Oryzias latipes: one gene and its partners. The protein of the gene in region 2 interacts with the protein of the main gene of each other region in a pairwise test. Links are inferred from orthologs where the notes say so. Each region holds a gene or a part of one and is shown on either strand. Other genes may lie near its edges.

Region 1 (4,782 bases), on a different chromosome or scaffold from region 2:
ATGGATTACATGAAATCTTTCCACCTTTATCCACCTTTGTCATGGTAGGGAGAACACGTCAATGGAAGGGGGGGGGGGGGGGTCATCTAAGATAACACAAGGGTCAAAAATGTTTTAGTGCAAACGTTTCCAGAAACGGAGAACTCTTCAATAGTCGGTCGATCCACTTTTGGATCAACTTCCTGTGTAAAGGCATCTGACGCCTTCTGTAGCTGATCAAGTCTGCAAAGACAGATTAGAAAACAGAGAAAGCTGTTGAAACAATGAGGATATTCCTGTGTGAACAAATGTTCCTAAATACCAAAGTAGAACATTAGATAGCAGGAAGAAGGATTTGCATTTCAAATGACAGAAAGATAAAAAAATATTCCATTTTCTTGGACACTTTTACCTTCTCTTTGTTTCAAATATGTATAATTAAGTATTTTATTATTCTCTCAACAGTTTAGAAAAACTCTTTTGCTTTTTCATGAAGGACATCGATTTGCCTCCATGTTTGTAAATGTCAAATAAAGCGGTGAGTTTTGACCATTCAAGGGTCATTAAATACAGTTAGGATCTGATGAATCCTCTCTAACTCATCATGTGTTATTATTATTCTATTAGTCGAAAACATGGATCATAAAATCATGACGATGTTCTGATGGTCCCAGACAAGGGAACTCTACGATGTGGTGAAGCCACCAAGACCTGAACCACTAAACACAGCAGCACAGCTTTTAGTGCAGTGTATTATGGGATGTAGGATAAGATATGAGCTGACCAACAGCTGATCAGCCGCTGACCAACAGCTGATCAACAGCTGACCAACAGCTGATCAACAGCTGATCAACCGCTGATCAACCGCTGACCAACAGCTGATCAGCCGCTGACCAACAGCTGATCAACCGCTGACCAACAGCTGATCAACAGCTGATCAACCGCTGATCAACCGCTGACCAACAGCTGATCAGCCGCTGACCAACAGCTGATCAACCGCTGACCAACAGCTGATCAACCGCTGATCAACAGCTGATCAGCCGCTGACCAACAGCTGATCAACAGCTGATCAGCCGCTGATCAACAGCTGATCAACAGCTGATCAGCCGCTGACCAACAGCTGATCAACAGCTGATCAGCCGCTGACCAACAGCTGATCAACCGCTGACCAACAGCTGACGCCATCAACACATTCACACTGCTGTCAAACTCTGACACTAACCTATAACCACAGGTTTAAACCATTTATCAGTCCAACTTCAACCGGCTTACCTCCGTACCACAGCCACCTGCACTAAATGCGACACTGCAACAGTTTAATGCATCTGGGATTGATTTGATTTGCTTTCATGAGATTGTTTTTACCATTTCCTCTGGGTCTTCTCAGGCACCTTGTTAGAACGGCCTTGGCGTTGGAGGAGAACCTCAGAGGGTCAAAGATGGCTCCCAGGTTCCTGTGCTCCTTCACCTCCATGGCGGATGGCGGGGGCCGTCTGTGTCTGGGGGAGAAGGTCACCACCATCACTTTTGTTGACGTTGAGCTCAGGGTGGGCGTTGAGGTCCGGAAAAGCTGAGCTGTGATTGGCTGGAAGACAGACAGGAGGACAGAGGACCCCTCCTAGAAAGCCCCCCATCTGTCTGACTGCAGCATGGACAGATTCACCGTCTGTGGTCTGAAGCGGATCCTGGTGGACCTCCACTTCAGTAGGTGGCGGTAGTGAGCAGAACTGGAAACCAGACTCCCGCCAATTAACGCCAAGAAGAAAGGCCGGAAGCTGGATGTGGACTCGGGATCCGAAGCGGTAGAAGGTCAGTAGTTTGGTGTCCAACCTGGTGTTCGGGGCAGTTTCAGTCAGAGATACGTAAATAACCACGTGACGTTCCTGTTTGTGTCTGTAACGCAGCCGCGAGATGAAGGAGTCCTGTCTGTGTGTGGTGCTGATCTATGTGAACTACATCTGCAGTGTTCTGCTGCACGGGAATGTGTTTGATAGGAAGAATTAGACACTAGAACTGCCTCTAGTCTGTCTGCAATGCATTATGGGATGTAAGATGGTGTAATCATCCTGGTTACTGAACTCCAGGTTTGTTACAGATCTGTTCTGCCTTCAGACCCACGTGGGTCCAGTTCCTCTTCAGTGATGAAGCAGAACCCGACCAATACTCTGGCAGAAACCAGCAGAAGTTCTGGTTCCGTCTTCTTCACAGACTGACGTTTAGTGAACCTGACCGGTTCTGTGGGATTCTAGTGAGACGGTGAAAGACGGAACCACGTCCAAGTTCGGTCCACAAAGTGGATTTTTTCAGAACTCATCGTGGATCGGATCCACGTTCGTAGAAGGAAAGAATTTTTCTGAGTTTTCTTCAATTCAACTCAAGAAATGTCCGTTTATTTGAACAAAAGTCTGTTTAGTTCTGAAAAAGCCTTTCAGTTTATGAGGGATTCAAACTGTGGCAGCAGCCGCGGCTCAGAGGTGGAGCGGTCGACCACTGATCACAAGATCGAGGTTGAGTTCTGCCCTGTCCGTGTGTCTTTGGGCAAGACGCTGAACCCCATGGCGTATGGGGGCGTGTCTGTCCGTGTCCGTCCGTGTGGGCGTGTCCGTGTGGGCGTGTCCGGCGCTTTGGGCCCTAAAGCTCAGCGTTAAACTGAACAAACATTTATGAGTAAATAATAAAATCTGAACATTTTTACGGAGTCGCTCTAAGAGGAAATCCGCTCATGGCTGGAAATGTTGGATCAGTTGTTTTCAGTTCATCTGAGGAGGACTTTTGGGTCCGTGCACGTGGGTCCGTGCACGTGCAGGACCCACGGACAGAGGAGTTCTGTCAGGTTCTGGTCTGTTCTTTACGTTTCCCTCTAGGCACCATGTCCATCCCGTCCCTGCTGGTTCTGTACGGGAGCCAGACCGGCACGGCCCAGGATGCGGCCCAGAGGATCGGCCGGCAGGCGCAGAGGAGGCGGCTGCCGGTCCGGGTGATGGCTCTGGACAGCTACGCCGTGGTGAGTTTGCTGCGGTTGCTGGAACCGTCAGTCCAGTTGGGCCTCACGGTTCCAGCAGGACTTTTTCAGAGGATTGTGATGTGTGGGATTGGGGTTCTGAAGGTTCTGTTGGTGAGGATGACTAAGTTGAATTTGGGAGGCTGTCTGGATTTATGTGGAGAGAAACAGACTGGTTTTGGACTGGATGCTCAGCAGATCCGGTCCATCCCTGCTGCTCTGCTTCCCTCCGTTAGCCTGGATTCCTCTGCAGTTTCTGTTCCTCCAACAGGCCGACCTGATTGCAGAGTCTCTGGTGGTGTTTGTCTGCTCCACCGCCGGACAGGGAGAGCCTCCGGACAACATGAAGGTAAGAGGGCGGAGTCTCCTGCTGTCAGTCACAGAACAAAGCCAGCTTTCAGAGAGGAAATGGATCCACAAATGAGAGACTGAAGGAAGAGTTTGGCCTTTCCTTCCTGGAAAACCAGCTGCTCCCCCAGGTCCACGCCCCCCCAGAACCCCCCAGATCCTCAGTGGATGTGGTTTTCTGCCATCCTGAGGCGGTTCTGAAGCCGTTTCTGTTTCAGTCCACGACTTTGATGAGGATCATCGGCACCACTTTGGTATCTGACCCCAATTTCAGACCCCCCAGAACCCCCAGACCCCCTGGGAGTGAACCTGTGAGGCTGGTTTGAAGGGAAAGTGTAGAAATATCAAATATTCATTTCACTTCAGTCTCTCTTTTGTGAACTGATCTAGAACACAGATTCTGTGGTTCTGAGGCGACCTTTGAACCCCTGATGGTTTCTCTGCTTGGATCTCTCTTCCCAGAACTTCTGGAGGTTTCTCTTCAGGAAGTCTTTACCCGGGGGCTCTCTGAGCCGGCTGGACTGTGCCGTGCTGGGTCTGGGGGATTCCTCCTATCCCAAGTGGGTCCCATCGCTGAAGGCGTTCGACCCGTTTCTGTGGAAGAGGCGGAGCGTTGACGGCGTTTCCGTCTGTGTTGCAGGTTCAACTTTGTGGCAAAGAAGCTTCATAAGCGTCTTCTGCAGCTCGGCGCCAACATGCTGATGCCTGTTGGGCTTGGCGATGATCAGCACGACGTGGGGTAAGCGTCTGGACGGGAAAAGGGGCGGAGCTCACGGAGGCTTTGGTTCTGCTGGTCTGGGTTCTGAAAACACAGACAGCAGGAACTTGACACAAACCATCATCCTTTGTTGGTTTCATTCTGGCTCAGTGCTGTTCATCATTAGGGGCGTGTCTTTCTAGTTAGGGGCGTGTCTTTCTAATTATGGGGGGGGCCCACTCATATCTTGGCACATTTGAGGGCGGGGTCTTGCACCAGGCTCCTCGCTCAGACCCAATCCTCCGTCCATGTTCTGTGGTTGACCCTGGGGGCGGGGCTGTGTGTGTTGTTTGAATCAGGCCGGACGCCGTCGTGGACCCCTGGCTCGCGTCCTTTTGGGGGTCGGTTCTGGCCCTTTACCCGTCCTTGACCAGTGTGACCCCGTTAAGAGAGGATGAGCGGTAAGATCCACGGATGAAAACGTCTGGGTCTGTGGCCGCCTAATGCTGTCCTCTGTGCAGACTTCCTCCCACGTTCACATTCCACTTCCTGGTGGGCGAGAGAGAGAGCGGCGATGAGAGACTAAGGGTCTCTGAGGGGGAGGCGGGTCCCTTTCGTGCCCGGATGGTTTTCAACAGGAGAGTGACGGAGCCGAGCCACTTCCAGGACGTGAGGCACATTGAGTTTGACGTCACCGGTTCCAGCATGAGGTCAGCGGTGTTCTGGGTTGCCATGGGAACGTCTTCACCTTGGCCTC
Region 2 (4,657 bases):
TTTTTTTATCCCCATATGTCAGGTTATGGGCTCTGTAGAAAGGAGTTTGAAGTTTTGTCTTTTTTTATCTTCTGTTGATAAAATAACACAAAAGCTGAGAGTAAAAGAGGCATTTAAGGAGAGAAGCAAAACCTTGAAAGAAAAAAATGTGTTTGGAAATTTCAATTAAAACAAGCTTTTAAAAGCAAAACTTCTCCAAGAATTATTCACATTTGTCAGTAAAAAACAGAAATACTGCCAAAGGTCTCCAACGTCGCGGTCGGTGATGTGGTGAGGATCAGAGAGCCGTACTCTGACAGAAGTTGACCTCCGACCTACAGCTGGAACTCACCACGTCGTCGTCGTTCATGTCGTTGGCTGACAGCGTCCACATTTTCACCGTGTTTGGGTCCAGCGCAGGTTTCTCTGCTGAAGACAAAACAAACAAAAACATTTGGTTTTTCCTTCGAATTGTTCTCTAAATCAGAGACATTCAAATTATTTTTTGTTATTGAAAAAAAGAACTAGTCATGAAACTGAAAATAATAAACATAATTTCCCTTTTGATGTTGATGTTATTAGATCTAAATTTCAGAGAAGATGAAGAGCATAGCTTTTAGAAACAGACCCGAGTTTGCCGTCTTCTTCCCGAAGGACAGTTTGATCTGGCTGGACGACCCCACCTCATAGTTGGGTTTACAGGCCTTGATCCGCACTCGAGACAGGGCGTCTCCTTGGTAACCAGTGGTCTCCCTGAGAGAGCTCAGTGCGGCGGGAGTGAGCTCCGATTTACTGACCTGAAAGGAAAGAAAGACGAGGAAAATGTGAAATATTAAAGTACACAAAAAAGTAGGATCTAGATTCAAACTAACTTAACTTTAGATATATTTTAACATTTCATCAGCGTCAAAATGTTTTGAATAATAAAAATTCTTCACTATGAATTACTTAATGTTAAGAACTATGAGAATATTTTTCAATGATTACTTACAGCTAAAACTTTGTTATATCTGTGATGAAGATCATGTTCTTTAAAAAACTTTTAGACCTAAACAATTGTTTGAAACCATAACAAATAATTTTCCTTTGAGTTGAATGAAAAAAACACGTTTAACTGAGTTGCAGTGAACCAACTGAAGTTTGAAAAAGTCATCACACCCTCGCAGACGAACGCTGTGAGTCCAAAATGTGTGAATGCCATCACCTCTGTTATTGACATGAAGCCAGACAGTTTCAGCGCCGACACCAGCTTCTCTGCCGTTCTCACGCTCTGTGCTTCTGTGGCTGCAACACAAACGGAAAAGGAAAAAACACAATCCTGGCTTTTAACGCCTTTTTTCTGATCTCCACTGGTTTGAGTGTCTGAATCTAACAAGAGATATGAACTGAATCAGGACACAATTTGCTCAGATGTGCAGCTTTAAAATAATAATACCTCGTCCTAAAATGTAAAAAGTTTCATGTCAGTTTAACTTTGATTAAAGTGTAAAAACAACCAAAACTGAAAGCAGCCTCTGGCATAAATGCAGACTTCCATCTTTGATCATAATCACCAAACTCATGTGGAGAACGGGAGGAGATTCTGCAGCAGCTGCAGGGAAAACACTGAACTCTTCACCCATCTGGTCTTCTTTTAAACCCCTAAAAGTGGGTCTCTTACCCGTAACTGGCTCTTCCAGGACCAAACTCCCACCGGGTTTTAGAACTCTGATCATCTCTGCTAGAGCTTCTGGACTATGGGTGGAAGAGCTGTCAGTCAGAAGGCAGGAGAGCACCCAGTCATAGGTGGACACAGGGTGAGCAGCTGAGAAGGCGAGAGGATTTCTGTCAGAGGCGTTTCCTCAAGTACAACAAATGTTAGTCTGATAAAACAAACCATTCATGTTAAACTCTGATGCTCTCCATGATTTTCTCAAGCACAAATGATTCTGTTCATGAAAAAAAATCCATTCTTTTTTTTTAGAATAACTCACAAAGCACCAGTCTCTCCATGTTTTCCACAGAAACTTTTCCATCTGCACCAACAGCAGCTCCCAGTTCCTCTGCGTACGGTTTCAAGGCGGCAGGCGTTGACGGCTGTGCCCACACCAGCAGGACTTTGTCTCCCGCTTTCATGCCAAGGTCGGCCATCGCTGACTTAAAAAGGAATGCAATGCAAGACAAACTTCAGCTTATTTGCAGCTTCCTGGAGAAAGAAGGAGGACTTCTCCATCGACAGACAGGATGGTACATGCGGGCTGCAAGTGACGATTACTGATGTTTGCCCATTAAATTCCAGCAACTTAAACTGCAAAGCGGCAAACAATACAAAGCAAGGAAGGTGGTATTTATGCAGCAACAAAGTTATAATACTAGGAGAGGAAATAACAGGTTGCCGATCTGCCAAAGTCAAAGAAAACTGCAATTAGATCCAGTTACCAAGTTGCCTTAGAAATACAATTCCTGGACAGTTGATGACTTTATACTGAGATTTTGCCAAAATGTACATTATAAAAAGCTGTGTTATAATGTTAACACGCCCCGAGTATGTAAACAGTAGCTCTGCTTTAATTGAACTCATCAAAGCAGTTTATATATATTTGCAAAAGTTATGAAAACAGAAAAAAGTATTTAGATTTCCTATTAATTACTTAGATAAATTTAAACTTTAGCTGGAAGTCATCTTATTGTAGAATTATTATATCAAGTTTAAAGGAAGCAGTTTTAGAAAACACAATTCTATTTTTTTTTATTTTCTTTTTAACACGCTCAGTGCTTTTGTTACAAACTAAGGTAAACAAAACTGTAGCAAGACCCCGAACAAAGAAACGATCCAGAAAATTATTTTATTTCATTCTGCTGATAAAAATAAATTAAAGTGCCTAAAAATTGATTAGATTTCTGACAGCAAAATGCGCTAGTTAGTCGCTAATTATTAAAGAAGAGAAAACAATGACGCAGAAAGAAACTAAATTACTAGAGACATTTAAAAAATATATTTATCTACTGTTAGAACCCGGAAACGCTTCCGCGCGAATGAAACACTTTAATGTTGCATTTCTGTTGTAACACTGTAATTAAAGCACCAAAAGTAACATAACACAGACATTTAAAGGATTGTTTACCGGGACACAAACGTAACTCACCTGCTGTCCTGTCGACAGTTACGAAGTCGAGTTAATGACGTCAGAAGCAAGTTTCCGATTTATATTTTCAAAATAAAATGTGAAACAGTCCAATGGCCAGGAAGAATGACGTTACTGCAAATGTGACAGGTAAAACCAAAAAGTAATGGTAACAGGTTGAAAAGCATTTCATACAATACTGAGTATTAGTTAGAGCACTGCTTATCTGAAGTTTGATACTTAAAAAAATGACACAAAAACTTACAAAAAAAAAGAAAAATTGTGATAGTGCAAGATAATAAGATAAAATTTATAGCCTTTTTTGTAGTCATTTTGCAACAAGGATTGAATTGATCATAGACTACAAAAAGTATGTCCATTGCAGTTTTGCGAAATATGTCCATTTCGATATGCCTCAAAAACCACCTCCTCCAAGCACAAACATTTTTTACGATAAATGCAAGTGTTTTCGCCATCGACATGTTTCCATTAGATGAATTTATTGTTACAAATCCAATTTGAGAAATTTTATCATTAATGGAAAAGCAGTGTCCAAGATGTAGAGGGGTGGATAGAGGTGGGACTCACAATAAGCTCACTCCTGTTTGGTGACAGTAGTTGCCATAGATACAATGACTCAGAGTGACGAGGACCAATCACTGTTGACTGGTTTCAACATGGCAGCGCCCATATCAGGAAGCAATGGTGAGGGATTTGGCCTCATTTTGCGAGAGGTGGAACATGGCATCTTCTATGGGTGACATCACACCTCGATACGTCCATTGTTTTTACAGTCTATGGCACATTTGTCAAACTCAAGGCCAAATGTGGCCCGCCATGTCATTTTATGTGGCCCGCGAGAGCATGAAGGTTTTTAATTTCTTAAAATTAAAATAAAAACTGATGTGTATTTATTCATATCTAGGGTGAATCTGACTTGAAAGATCGGATTGGGCTACTATACATTAGGACTTAAACACTTTCCATATAACCTAACCTGACAAAATCAAATTTAAAGGATTTCAGTCAAACAACTCATGCAGTAAAAAATATTTATTGTCACATTCTTTTAGTTTGGCATATGGCTCCGTGCAATTCCATGAGACAAGATTTCCATAAAACCTTTGTGTAATAACTACCCCTAACGGAGCTCACAGGTGGAAGCCGGGGTGGAGGGTGGGGCGACGAACGCAGCGCTTTCGGTAAAGAAAGAGAGTGAACAACTGCACACCTGGACTTAAATAGGACACTGAACAGGTGAGTTGATTAACTGAACCGCCGTAGGGGAGTAACCGAGTAAAACACTGCTAGAGTAGTCTGCCTGAAAGGCGACCAAGGCCGCTCATTAATGCCAGAGTAACAAGCAATCATGTGTTTTCTATGCAACTGCAATTGTCTCTTTAAAAAGTTATGATAAATAAATAATTAGTTAATTAACATTAAGAAGTAGTTACATTTATTTTTAATTACATTTGGTTACATGTATAAGTCATATCTGGCCCTTTGAGGACAGTGGTATTGACGCATTTAATGTTTGGTAAGCCCCGGTTCCGGGTTACACGGCAGGACGCGTG
Region 3 (4,100 bases), on a different chromosome or scaffold from region 2:
TTTTGGAAATAGGAGCAGAAGAAAAATGCTATTTGAAAAAGATTGTATTTGTGATGTAGAAAATACCCTAGGCAGGCCACTAGCTGCCTGCTCCATTCCTTTCTGATTCATCCACTGTCAGACAAATAGATCCATCTTTATTTTCCACCCCTGAGCAGAATCTGGATCTAAACTCTACGGCTGGACAGCTCCATTATTGCTCGGCATAATCATAATTAAAAGACCAGGAACACTTTTACGATGGATTGAAAAAAAAAAAGATTGGAGTGGGACTTTAAGGTAGCTCTATATTTAACAAGACTCTACTATATACCCATCTTTAAACATTTGAAGCCTAGTGTTTACATAATCCATCTTCTAAACGTTGTAAAATTTTAACAAAACCTTTAAATCTGGCTTCATCTTTCCTTTAGATTACTAGGAAATGTTTAAACAATCTTAATGAGTATCTCCTTTTTTTGCATTTTATACTAAAAGTAAGTTTAGGTATTAAAACTCGATTTGAAATAATAGAAATGCAATATTAACTCCTGGTGATATCATTTTACAAAAAAACTCAGTGAACAGACCAGAGGTCTGAAACCTGAGGCTCCAGAACTACATGCTACTTTTATCCCTGCATTCTTTGGCTTTACTATTAATTACGGTTAATTAAGTTTGACATTTCAGGTTGGATTTTTAATATATTAGACGATTGATCAAAAATGATGGTAAGCTATTTCATTTACTGTCAGAAAGATTTGGTAGAATAAGGTAGCAGCGTTTTTTTTTTGCTGTTTAGAGGCAAAGGTACTCAAGTGCATAGGTACATGTACATTTATAGATTTTTTAAAAAGGATTCTACACCAATGCTGTCACGTTTCTATTAGTTATCAAAATGAGAAATGAGAAAAAGGACGAAGGCACCCCAAAGTCATGACAGAAAATGTCATGATTGACATGTATTTTAAATTCAAGTAAATCGGAGCTTTTTCACACAGGGTGTTTTATTTTGAAAGGAACTTGTATGTGCTGCCGTCTAAAGTAAAATAGATTCAATTTTATTACGTGTATAAAACAATACATTTTAGAATGCAATTGTAAATATTTCAAAGCTACATTTTATAAATGAATTAATAAATGATCACAAAAACATAAAGTGTTTTTTTTTATAACAGTGAAGTTGGACTTCATGGCTCTTGCTGGGTTCTTTTAATGTGAAAGGTTCCAGAACCCTGATACTGTTGGTGCTTTTACATTTACGCCCACAAGGTGGCGCCAGAAAACCTGTCACACGTGCTTACTATACCACATGTATTACAAACGTGACATGCTGCTGCTTTTAACAATTTTATTGAGTGTGAGCTTTAGTGCATGAGCTCTGTTCAAACTTTTTTCTCATTTCAAAGTAAACTCAGTTTACTACAGCCAGTTCACCTCTTTACAGGCAAAAAATAAAACAAATAGAAACGTTTTGTTCTATTTTGATGGGAAATTTATTATAGGCTGGAATTTGCAGTGAACATGAGTAGATTTTCAGCTTCTCTGGTGGTGTTCTTGTCATAAAGATGAGGATGGAGAGTCAGCAGCTTCACGTCATCTGAAAGTCTGTGAAAAAAGAAGAACGTTTCCCACGATCAAAGCCGACGAGCAGCTTCTTTGACCTCCTGGGACCTCTGAGGGGTGCAGCAGCTGGTGCAGGCCTGTGCAGTGATGTCCTGTTCCCCGTCCATCTACGACTCCCCCCTCAGTACCGACTCCAGCTCCCCACTCTCCTTCAGCTCCTTCACTATGTCCAGGCCCCCGATCAGCTCCCCTTTCACGTAGAGCTGGGGATAGGTGGGCCAGTTGGAGTACGCCTTCAGGCCCTGACGGACCTCTTCGTCCGACAGGATGTCAAAGGTGTCAAAGTCCACCCCCGTGGAGTTCAGGACCTCCAGGATCTGCCTGCTGAAGCCACAGCGCGCCGCCTCCTTGTTGCCCTTCATGAACAGCATGACGGGGCTCTGGTTGATGATGGCCTTCAGGCGGTGCTCCAGGGTCACGGCCTTTGGGCAGGTGGTCTCCAGCTCCCCGGACTCGGCCAGCTCCTTCACGATGTCCAGCCCCCCCAGCAGCTCTCCGTTCACGTACAGCTGGGGGTAGGTGGGCCAGTTGGAGTACGCCTTCAGGCCCTGACGGACCTCTTCGTCTGACAGGATGTCAAAGGTGCTGAACTGGACGCTGTGCTCCTTGAGCAGCGCCACCATCTGGCGGCTGAAGCCGCAGCGGGGCTCCTGCGGGGAGCCCTTCATGAACAGCACGCAGGGCGCCGCGTTGATCAGCTTCTTCAGCCGCTGGTTCAAGTCCGCGGCGCCGCCGTCCGCGGCTCCTCCTGGGGCGGGCCCGCTACCCGCCAGGCCCTGGACCTTCTTAGTCAGCTCCGCAGCGTGCGCCCCGTCCAGACGATCCACCTTCTCACCCCCCTTGAAGAAGATAAAAGTGGGGACGGAGGATATGTCATACTTTTCCGACACATCGGGAACAGCCTCCGCCTCCAGCTTCACAAACGTCGCGTGCGCGTGTGCCTTGGCCAGCTCGGCCATCACTTCGTTCATGTCGCCGCACTGAGGAGCCCATGCCGCCTGGAAATGTACAACCGCGAGGTTTTTTCCAGCTTTTGCAAGGAAATCCTCGAACTGTTGTCGGCTCGTCGCCTCTAGCACATTCGCCATCTTTGCTTCTTTGACCTCGACAGCAGTCCGGCGGCTTTCTGACGTCACATCCGTTCAGCCCTAAAAGCTGTTAGCTGTAGCATAGCCGCGACGCACCGGAGAAGTGCTCGGCTTTCTGAATATAAGAGCCTCCTGTGGACTCTGGATACGTTAAAAAACATTGTATGATTTAAAAGGTAAGCGTTTGACGGTGTGACGCATAAAAAACGGAATGTTCTGCGCTTAAGCATTAGTAGCGACACGACAGATCAGTTAGCATCTTTAGCTAATCTGTTTGGCTAATTAGCCAGTCGGCGTTTATTTGGTTCCTAAAAAAAGTAATCCTGCTGAAGAGCAAGTGGCGATATGTTACTTTCTATCTTTTGTTATACTGTCTGTCCTAAATCTTAGTTTAATATTACATCGCTCCTGTCCTTGTTTAGCGAATACAGCCGGGCTAACTGTTTTTGGCTAACGCTAGTACAGGGAGTCCGTCTTTGGGAAAAAAACAAAGCATTAAATCAAATTTAACCCACTGAGTCTAACATAAAGATATAGATGCTATTTTACGTTAATTGTATGTTTATTAAAATTCTTGTTTAGGAAATAGCTCAGTTAATAATGTATTTTAAATTAGAGCTAAATAATTCAGCTGATTGTAGTTATCCGGATTCCTTAGTTAGAGATTTTATTTTCTAGACTAAAGGCTGGTTAATAAATTCACTTCAACGTTGCCTGTTTGTTAAAAAGAAGAGGTGATCTAGATGATTGCTGAAAAATTGGAAACTACGCTCACTGTTCTTCATAAACTTATAAACATGCCGTGGACGCACCATGCTTGTTGAACAGATTGTTAAATAACCTGGTGCTTATCAAAATTTTTGTAAAAGTGTACAAACACTTTAAAAAGTCACATAAACAGAATAATTTGTAATTGAAGATGTAATACAATTGCAGGAACGCTATGGATGAACAAACCTCAGACATAGAAGTGACGGTCAAAACTCTGGACTCTCAGAGCAGAACCTACTCAGTCGGTGCTCAGGTAAATGGAAAGTTCCTGCTGTAAATATTTGGGTAGTTTCCTTTTGTCTTTTATGATCTGACTGAAATGATCCATTGTTTTGCAGCTGACAGTTAAAGAGTTCAAAGAGCACATTTCTCCTTCAGTGGGCATCCCTGTGGACAAACAGAGGCTCATCTACCAGGGCAGAGTACTGCAGGATGAAAGGACGCTGGCAGACTACAGTTAGTCAAAGGATATATTAAATCTTCCTCCTCTTAACCTTTCAGCTTGTTGCTTCAGGGAGTCTCTCCATCTGAACATCCCTTCTGCCTCCTTTCAATCACACCACCAAGGAGCATTTCAAAACTATTTCTTTTAAGTAAAAATTCTGTCATTGAATTAGTTTTTGGTTCCATCTGCTC

The links.
Region 1: the proteins of ciapin1 (region 2) and ndor1 interact in binary tests that used the Homo sapiens proteins (3 or more experiments, as listed by UniProt). The two-hybrid records come from large-scale screens. The link is inferred for Oryzias latipes from reciprocal best matches to the Homo sapiens genes CIAPIN1 and NDOR1.
Region 3: the proteins of ciapin1 (region 2) and glrx3 interact in binary tests that used the Homo sapiens proteins (3 or more experiments, as listed by UniProt). The link is inferred for Oryzias latipes from reciprocal best matches to the Homo sapiens genes CIAPIN1 and GLRX3.

What each region holds. Positions count from the first base shown.
Region 1 is NC_019870.2:30,176,147-30,180,928, reverse strand, and holds the start of ndor1 (NADPH-dependent diflavin oxidoreductase 1), read left to right. Parts: upstream 1-1,794; 5' UTR 1,795-2,701; coding exon 2,702-2,983; intron 2,984-3,251; coding exon 3,252-3,329; intron 3,330-3,790; coding exon 3,791-3,888; intron 3,889-3,968; coding exon 3,969-4,067; intron 4,068-4,384; coding exon 4,385-4,486; intron 4,487-4,546; coding exon 4,547-4,735; intron 4,736-4,782. UniProt on the Homo sapiens protein: NADPH-dependent reductase which is a central component of the cytosolic iron-sulfur (Fe-S) protein assembly (CIA) machinery.
Region 2 is NC_019864.2:27,441,985-27,446,641, forward strand, and holds the start of ciapin1 (anamorsin), read right to left. Parts: upstream 3,170-4,657; 5' UTR 3,105-3,169; intron 2,116-3,104; 5' UTR 2,110-2,115; coding exon 1,953-2,109; intron 1,784-1,952; coding exon 1,640-1,783; intron 1,264-1,639; coding exon 1,184-1,263; intron 777-1,183; coding exon 608-776; intron 409-607; coding exon 332-408; intron 1-331. UniProt on the Homo sapiens protein: Component of the cytosolic iron-sulfur (Fe-S) protein assembly (CIA) machinery required for the maturation of extramitochondrial Fe-S proteins.
Region 3 is NC_019874.2:28,118,586-28,122,685, forward strand, and holds glrx3 (glutaredoxin-3), read right to left. Parts: upstream 2,785-4,100; 5' UTR 2,694-2,784; coding exon 1,713-2,693; 3' UTR 1,020-1,712; downstream 1-1,019. Other genes in the region: large proline-rich protein BAG6, read left to right, coding at 3,637-3,717, 3,803-3,920. UniProt on the Homo sapiens protein: Together with BOLA2, acts as a cytosolic iron-sulfur (Fe-S) cluster assembly factor that facilitates [2Fe-2S] cluster insertion into a subset of cytosolic proteins.